Sus scrofa: one gene and its partner. The protein of the gene in region 1 purifies or fractionates together with the protein of each later gene. This does not show direct contact. Links are inferred from orthologs where the notes say so. Each region holds a gene or a part of one and is shown on either strand. Other genes may lie near its edges.

Evidence for each region.
Region 2: the proteins of IFT88 (region 1) and HSPB11 purify together in Homo sapiens (affinity purification with mass spectrometry; 3 studies listed by BioGRID and IntAct, with this or other methods). This does not show direct contact. The link is inferred for Sus scrofa from reciprocal best matches to the Homo sapiens genes IFT88 and IFT25.

The regions. Positions count from the first base shown.
Region 1 is NC_010453.5:963,522-967,567, forward strand, and holds part of IFT88 (intraflagellar transport protein 88 homolog), read left to right. Parts: intron 1-788; coding exon 789-893; intron 894-2,194; coding exon 2,195-2,297; intron 2,298-3,424; coding exon 3,425-3,539; intron 3,540-4,046. UniProt on the Homo sapiens protein: Positively regulates primary cilium biogenesis. Also involved in autophagy since it is required for trafficking of ATG16L and the expansion of the autophagic compartment.
Region 2 is NC_010448.4:158,336,982-158,341,722, reverse strand, and holds the start of HSPB11 (intraflagellar transport protein 25 homolog), read right to left. Parts: upstream 2,936-4,741; 5' UTR 2,689-2,935; coding exon 2,662-2,688; intron 1-2,661. UniProt on the Homo sapiens protein: Component of the IFT complex B required for sonic hedgehog/SHH signaling.

The sequences.
Region 1 (4,046 bases):
GGCCGCTCCTGCGGCATATGGAGGTTCCCAGGCTAGGGGTTGAATCAGAGCTGTAGCCGCCGGCTTATGCCAGAGCCACAACAACTCGGGATCCGAGCTGCATCTGCGACCTACACCACAGCTCACAGCAACACCGGATCCTTAATCCACTGAGCAAGGCCAGGGATCGAACCCGCAACCTCATGGTCCCTAGCCGGATTCATTAACCACTGAGCCATGACGGGAACTCCGAACCTGTGCTTTTTTGTCTAGTTCCAGAAAAAAAAGAAAAAAACCCCAGCCAATCCCATATCGAGTTACTCTTTCTGCGGTTAGTCTGTCCGTGGGAATCAATAAAAGGTCCTTGTCATTGCAAGTAAAACACATAAGCGAACTAGGCCTCTGTAGTCATGCCGGGTGGTTTTGCCGTGTCTGCACGTTGAGCATCCCAGAAACCAAACAAATCCACCTCCGTGCCTGTCTCGTGAGACTGAGTTAAAACACCAAAGACTCAGGAGTTGGGAGGAAGAAAGGAGACACGGTCAGACCCAGAAGTGGTGGCAGTGCAGGTGCTGGGGAACCTCGGGGGCAGGTGAGCGCTGCATCTCAGCCCTCGGCTTCCTCCTCTTTCCCAGAAAGGACACACGGCCTTTTCGGGGCTGGGGACGTGGGGGGGAAGCTCCGGCGTGAATACGGCGGAGCGTTTGTGGAGCAGCGTGGCAGGGCGGCCACTCCTCCCTGCAGCTGCTCCCAGCGCATCCCGCCGGATGAGTGCTCCTAGGAGTCACGCAGTGTAACCTTGATTTCAGGCCTTGGAAAAGGCAAAAGATGCGGGAAGAAAAGAGCGAGTGCTGGTGAGACAACGAGAACAAGTTGCAAGTCCAGAAAACATCAACTTGGACTTAACTTACTCGGTGAGTATCAAGGACCGGTTGGGGGGTTATTTTCGCTGGAATTTGTGGATTCCAGGAGCCCCCTTTTTTTTTTTTCCTTTTTAGGGCCGCTCCTGTGGCATGTGGAGGTTCCCAGCCCAGAGGCCGAATCGGACCTGTAGCCACTGGCACCACCAGATCCAAGCCGGGTCTGCCACCTCCATCACAGCTCATGGCCACACCGGATCCTTTAACCCACTGAGCGAGGCCAGGGATGGAACGCGGGTCCTCGTGGATCCCAGTTCGGTTCATTACTGCTACTCTACGATGGGAACTCCTGTAGTCAGGGTCTTGGCACACTTCGCCGCAACGGGAACTCCTGTGGAGTCACTTAGCAACATATGAAGTGCTTGTGAACCCACCATCCAGTGACGGCTGAGGAGTGCTAACGTGTACTGCTCAGGGTGATTGCTTTAATAAAAGATTTGGGTTTTGTGGGGCTTTTTAATTTTTTTTTTTCTTTTTAGGGCCACACCTCAATTTTTAGATATTTACTGTTTATGGCTAATATTTTAAAATTCCATAGGCTCTTTGGATTTGGGGATGGTGTACAGTGATCATTTTTTCCCTCTAGGAACATAATTTACTCTAACAATTTGAATTATAAATGTGTAGGGAGTCCCTGTTGTGGCTCAGTGGCAATGACCCCAACCAGTATCCATGAGGATGCAGGTCTGATCCCTGGCCTCACTCGGTGGGTTAAGGATCCACCGTTGCCGTGAGCTCTGGTGCAGGTCACAGATCTTGCATTACTGTGGCTGTGGCGTAGGCTGGTGGCTGCAGCTCCAACTTGACCCCTAGCCTGGGAACCTCCATATGCCTTGGGTGTGGCCCTTAAAAAAAAAAAAAAAAGACCAAAAAAATTACAAATGTGGATATGAAGGAATACTGTACAAACTAAAATTTAAGATATTTCCACACGATGTTTAGTTTATATCTACAAAGAGAATTTGGTCCACTCTCTTCCTTTTTCGTTTTATTACCAGCAGGATTAATAATACACATGTATGCTTTGCGGGTCTTCCTGAGTTTAGAGGAAAGCAGACGCATTCATTAGAAAGACTCCGTGGAAGACGAGGCGAGGGCAGAGGACAGCCTCGCTGTCTCCATCGTGTCGCGGCCGTGTTCACACGCGGGGCGCGTTTTCTGTCCTGCCCTTCCGGGCGAGCCGGGTGTCTTGACAGAGGCAGCCGACTTTTGCAGTGTTTTCATTTCTAGAAGGATCACAGGCACCGGGGGCTAAAATGATTGTTAGCTGTCACTTTGCGGTGTTTCTCGCGTAGGTTCTCTTCACCTTGGCCAGTCAGTATTCAGCGAATGAAATGTATGCCGAAGCGTTAAACACGTATCAAGTTATCGTGAAAAACAAGATGTTTAGCAATGCAGGTAGGTGTGTATATACAGTCAGTTTTTCCACTAACTCTGGTTCTTCTCTAGGGGTGATTTCTCACGTCCTCATTTTATGCTCTGTTATCATGAAATCATCAGTGCTCTAAGCAATCCGTATTTGTGGTAGAGGTGTCCTGCCTAGAGGCCCTGTGGTAATGAAAGTGCACACCGACGCGGAGGAGGAGACACAGCAGGCCTATGACACACTGCCCCGTAGCCAGTGGACAGCAGGTCATGTAGCGCATGGGACGAGCTGCGGCAACACCGTCGGACGTGTTTCCCTTGTAGGGTTGAGCCTCAGGAGGCTGTTGTTTGTGTTTAGCATTTATATTCTGTAAGGTTTTTGTTCTTTTTTTTTTTTTTTTTGGTCTTTTTGCCATTTCTTGGGCCATTTCCGCGGCATATGGAGGTTCCCAGGCCAGGGGTCGAATCGGAGCTGTAGCCACCGGCCTATGCCAGCGCCGTATAGCAACACGGGATCCAAGCCTCGTCTGCGACCTACACCGCAGCTCACGGCCGCGCCGGATCCTTAACCCCCTGAGCAAGGCCAGGGATCAAACCCGCAACCTCATGGTTCCTAGTCGGATTCGTTAACCACGGAGCCATGACAGAACTCCAGTTTTTGTTCTTTTTACAGCCACACCTGCGGCACGTGGAGGTTCCCAGGCTGGGGGTCCCATCAGAGCTGCAGCTGTCAGCCTGCACCGCAGCCACAGCAGTGCAGCTCCAAGCCGCATCTGTGACCTATGCCGCTTGCATCCGCGCTGGATCCCTAACCCACTGAGCGAGGCCAGGCATTGAACCTGCAACCTCATGGTTCCTGATCAGATAGGTTAAGCACTGAGCCACGACGGGGACTCCACATTTCCAGTTTTATGATGTAACCCTATTGCTTTCTAGCCGTATTTCCAGGAATCTGTCATAAGTTCCATTTCCTTGTAGAAGTTTCCTGTGCAGATATTTGAAAATAGTGTAACTATTTTAAAGTGAGAATTTTTAGTTAGTGTCTGAAACTTTATATCTTGAGAAGAACTTCAAAAAATATGAGTTAAGGTCATGTAAAATTTCTTAGGAAAAGTGAAAAAAAGGATATTATGTATTTATCATTATTTTTTTTAAACCAGGACGGTTGAAAGTGAATATGGGAAATATTTATTTAAAGCAAAGAAATTATTCCAAAGCCATTAAATTCTACCGAATGGCCTTAGATCAGATTCCAAGCGTCCATAAAGAAATGAGGTAAGTTTGTAAAATTTACGTGCTATTCTTCAGAAACAAGGTCATGGTCCTGACGTGTCGCCAGTGGGTTGACTGCTTGGAGGTGTCTCTTGGAGAAGTGCTCAGTGCGTGTCTTAGTCCGGTGTTTTCTCCCCTGTGACTGCTCGCGGGCGTTGTTTATATGATGCCAGGTTAAAAGTTAAAGGCATAGACCGTGATCAGTCGGAATAAAACCAAGCTCCTGGACCTGTACAGGGAATGACCCCGCAGGCCATTAGCGCCCAATCCAGTTTCCTGCCCGCACCAAGTCGAACAGCAGTCCCTGGACCATTCCAGAGTGCAAGGCTAGAAATTAAATATCCCCAAAAGAGGATGCTGGGATATTTTCATTCTTAAAATATTTCCAGCACAGAAACAGCGAGTTACCTTGTCGTCTGATAATAACTGTGGGAACGGAGGAGGTTTCCAGGGGATCTACTGGTCAAAATTTCTCGTAGGTTCAGTATGACACCTCTGTGAAAGTTAAGT
Region 2 (4,741 bases), on another chromosome or scaffold:
CTGCTGTTGCTTGAACATTGTTAACTCTTAGTTTGAAGAGAAAAAATACGGTGAATTCTTGGAAATAGAGATTGATGTACTTGGATGTTAATTCTCAACAAAAATTCTAAAATTGCTAAATTTCATCATTAAAAGCATGTCCTTGAAAATCTAAACAAGAAGGTAGTAAAACTAGAAAGCAACAGTAACTTTAGTACATGTTATACCAAATCTATATATTTCTTTTTGTTTGATAGAGTTACTTCCTATTACTTCTGAATGCTCTGAACACTTCAAGAAAATTTCAAAGCATCTCAGATAACCTGTGGACTAGATGAAGAAATGTGGGATAGGTGACAGGCAGTACTTGAGGTAGATTGTTTATAATTCTTGGAATGGCTATCCTCAAAGAATAATGATTAATGGGACAAAATGAACTGTGGAAGACCTTTATCCTTATCCCATTCAACATTTTCATTATTAAGGATAGAAAAAGTTTGTTTTATCAGTTTTGCAGATGACACAAAGCTGGGATATCAGCTAATATGCTAGAATTAGCACACAAGAACTGAGCAAGCTAGAAAAATGGGTTGCAATGACTAAGATACTGAATAAGGATAACAGTAAAGGCCTGTACTCAGACTTAAAAAATCAGGAGTTCCCACCATGGCTCAGTGGAAATGAATCTGACTAGTATTCATGAGGACAGAGTTTCACTCCCTGGGCTCGAACCGTGGGTTAAGGATCCGGCATTGCTGAGAGTAGTGCAGGTTACAAATGCGGTGTAGGCCAGCGGTTACAGCTCTGATTTGACCCCTAGCCGGGGAACCTCCATATGCCCCCGGTGTGGTCCTAAAACAGACAAAAAAAAAAAAAAAAAAAAAAAAAAAATCAATCACATGAAGAACGGTTTAGATCAGGGATTGGGAAACTATTGCCTATAAGTCAAATCTAGCCTGACACCTGTTTTTGTATGGCCCATCAGCTAAGAATGCTTTTTACATTTTAAAATATTTTTCAAAATCAATATAGTATTTTGTGGCACATGAAAATCATATGAGATAGGAAATTTGCAGCTTTGTGTCAATGAGTAGGTTTATTGGAAATGGCCATGCTCATTCATGTATATATTGTCTGTGGCTACTTTTGTGCTATAGTGACAGAGTTGAATGTTTGTGACAGACTCATAAAGCCTAAAATATCTATTATCTGGCCCTTTAGAGAAAAACCTTGCCAATCCTTCATCTCTATGTGTAAAATATAGAGGATTAGTTGATTGCAAAGTCACTATAAGGCAAAGGAATGTTATTTTAGATTATATTATTGGAGTTAAGAAGGAACCACCTTCTATCGAAATCTTTGAAAACCAACTAAGGGCCAGACACTGCACTAGTAATGCAAAGATACTATGTCGTCACCTTTGACTACAGTAAATCTAAGACAAAGATGGTGACCAAGGCTTGGTTTTTGCCTTCAAGCTCAGTGTCAAGGAAGATGGACAACCATGAAACTAGTAACTTAGTATGTTACATGCTAATAGTGAACCACACCTAGAATACTCTGTTCGGTTCCAATTAGCATATTTTAAGTAAGACACTGTCAGGCTTTACATTGTTCAGAGGAGTGCAAAAATTTCATGATGATATATAAGCTACATTAAATGGAGGAAGTTGAAAGAATATTGTTTCAAGGAGAGATAATTTAGTGAGAGAAATGTGACTACAAGTTTTAACATCACAAGTCTTCAAATGTAAAAAGTATTAGAATTTTTCACTAATAACTGATGATAATAACAGGGAGAAATGCACTCAACAAATATGAATTCCAGAGTTCTCTGTGGTGCCATGGATTGAAGATTTGGCATTGTCACTGCAGCAGCTTGGGTTGCTGCTGTGGTATGGGTTCGATTCCTGGCCTAGGGACTTCCACATGCTGCAGGCATGGGCAAAATAAATAAACAAACAAACATGAATTTTAAGCTGGATGACATCATAGATATAAGAAATTTCTAGCAAAGAGAAGATTTTTAATCTTTTCCAATCCTGGAAGTGTACAAGAAAAGGTAATAACCTATGAAAGAAACTAAAGAAAGAATTCTTGCACTGGGGTTCCTTTAGAATGACTTGAATTCTAGGAAAGGTAGATTAGGAGCAGATAATACAAATACTTGAAAGTCAGGTAAAGAGAGTAGGCTTTAGCCTATAGTTCAGTGGTTCTCAATTGGACTGGTGGTGATGCCTTAGATGCCTTATCTTGTCCCAGTGCCATTTATCCACCCTTTCACCTCCAGTTCGCATGTCCTTTCTTTCCGCAAACCTCTCTGCGCCAAGTCTTCAGTTCACCTTCTCCCCGACCAGCCACTAGCTTCTGGTAACTCTTTGATTCCTCAAACCCTGTCCCATTACATCATCCACCGGGAACGTGTGTAAATTCGAGAAGCGCCATCCTCCCTCTCCCCAGTGCCAGCCAGGGCCTATAGCTTGGCATATCACTTGAAAGGCAATCAGCCCTGACCCCACATTTTCCCCTCCATCCCAAACCCTTCTCTTCAGTTCAAGGCCATTTCGAGACCTCCATGGGCCCTGAACATTCATAACTTTGGACTCCTGGCGCCAAACTAGATAAAATATCTTAAATGAACCCACATCTTATGTCAAACATAATTCTGAAGTATGAACTTACGTTCCAGTGGATAGGTTTCATTTTCATACACTTATAATTTCGACTTGGAATTGATTTTCCCTTTGTGTGTGGGGGGGTCAAAACATTTTATCAGGCCTAGAAAAAGTTCGTGCGCTGGTTCTCTGGTACTTCGAAGAGACCTGCGTCAGACTTCCCCCTTCCCGGTCCCCTCACGAGCCAAGCCTCAGCGACCCCGGCGATCCGCCTCCGCGCCGCGCGTCCCCTCACAACCCCCGCCACGCTCGCTCGCTCGCTCCCTCCTCCACCAGCATCCCCTTCTGTCGGCCTCGCCCAGCCAGGGTCCCACCTCCCAAGGTGCCGGGCGAGCCACAAAGCCCGGATCGCCTAGGCCTCCGGTTAGCGACAAACGCGCTTACAGTCGAGCTTCGTTTCTCTCTACCGCCCTGCCCACAACTCCGCCTCTCCCCTCTCCGCCGGCCTCCTAGGAGTTCGCTGGCTGCTGCGCAGAATCTACTCCCGGCTCTATGCTCCACCCCTCCCTCAGACCCCGCCCCGTCTCGCCCCACCCTGCGTTGCGCGCCCCATTCCCCAGCCCCGCCTCCCTCCCGCCCAGCCTCCTCGAGATCCCCAGAGCGCTCAGCTCTTCTCCCGGCCTGATGCTCCACCCTCCCATAGGCCACGCCCCAGGCCACGCCCCCGTGATCTTTGGTTCGCGGGCTGAGTTCCGCAGCCCCGCCCAAGGGCCTGTCCCTAGGTAAGCCCTGAGCACGCGCTGCCTACCCTCCCCCAGCTCAGCTTGATCCCAGGGGCCTGCGAGACCCAAGAGACCCGCCTTCGTGCGAACACGCACGCGCAGTCCCCACCTCTCCCGGCTCGAGCCCTAGGCCCTCAGGTCGCCAGCCCGGGGCCCGGTCCCGCCTCCAGGCCCGGCTCCGCCCCTCATGCCGGGTCTCGCGCGCAAGCGCGCCTCCCCTGCCCAGTCTTCCCTCCGCCCCCGCCGGCCCCGCGGTCCCAAGGCGCCAGGTCGCCCCCAGCCCCCTCCCTCCTCCCGCCCACTCTCTGTCCCACCCTCCTCAGCTTTGTGCCGGGGGCGCGGAGCCGCTTCCCCCCTCTGCCGCGCCGCGGGAGGAGGGACCTGCCACCGAGGAGCTGCCGGGCTGCCCCAGGCGGGGGTACAGGTAGGTGGCGACCGCGGGCTGGGCCTCTCACGTAGCCCAGGGCTGAGAATGGGGCGGGTGCGGGGTTTGAGGGAGGGGTGGGATGGGGGAGGGGGAGATCGAAAGGGACGAAGCTGGGGTGTGGTTGGTGAAAGATGTGGAGATGAGGATATAGGGGTGTCAGAGGTGGGTTTAAGGGTAGAATTGGGGTGCTGGGGGAGTGTATGAGGGCGTGTGAAGATTGGGGTTCAGGCCTGGGTGGGAGAAGGGAGAAGGATTAGCTTGGGTGAATTTGAGGAGGGGCATGCGTGGGAATTTCGACCGAGGTGGAGGATTGCAGTGCTGGCGAAGGAGGGGAAGAGGGAATCGGATTGAGGGGTGCCAAGAGGGAAGGGTCTAGGACTGGAATGGGAGAAGGGGTGGGGTCTTGGGGGTAGGGAGGAAAAGTTGGGGCCGCGGATTGTGAAGTTGGGCTTTAGTGAGGCGTGAAGAAAGGAGATCTTGAAGGTTGAGGGCAGAAGACAAGGAAAAGATGGAGAGATTGGGGTCCTGGGAGAGGGAATCTCAGCGAAGTGGGAGGAAGGGGCGAATACATGGTGAAGGACAGAGCAGGAGTGCATAGGGATGAGAGTGGGTGGGGGTGGAATGGTCTAGGAAGGAAGGAGCCGGGTGACGGTGGGATTGGGTCGGAGGGATGGGGGAGCCACATTTCAGAAGGGTCCTGGAAGGATGGGTAGGGCGGGAGGTTGGAGAGGTGGGGGCAGGGTAGCTGGGAGTGGAGGAAGGGAGAGGGTTAGGATCCTTGGTGTGGAGATTGGATTTTGTGTGTGGTACTCTGGAGTTGGCAAGTGGAAAAAACTGTCCAGGGTCAGAACGTAGGAGAGATCGGCCTGTTCCAAGAGGGAAGTAGGAGCTACGTATGGGTGAGAAGGCAGGTAGGGAAGTGCAAGTTACAGGAAAAA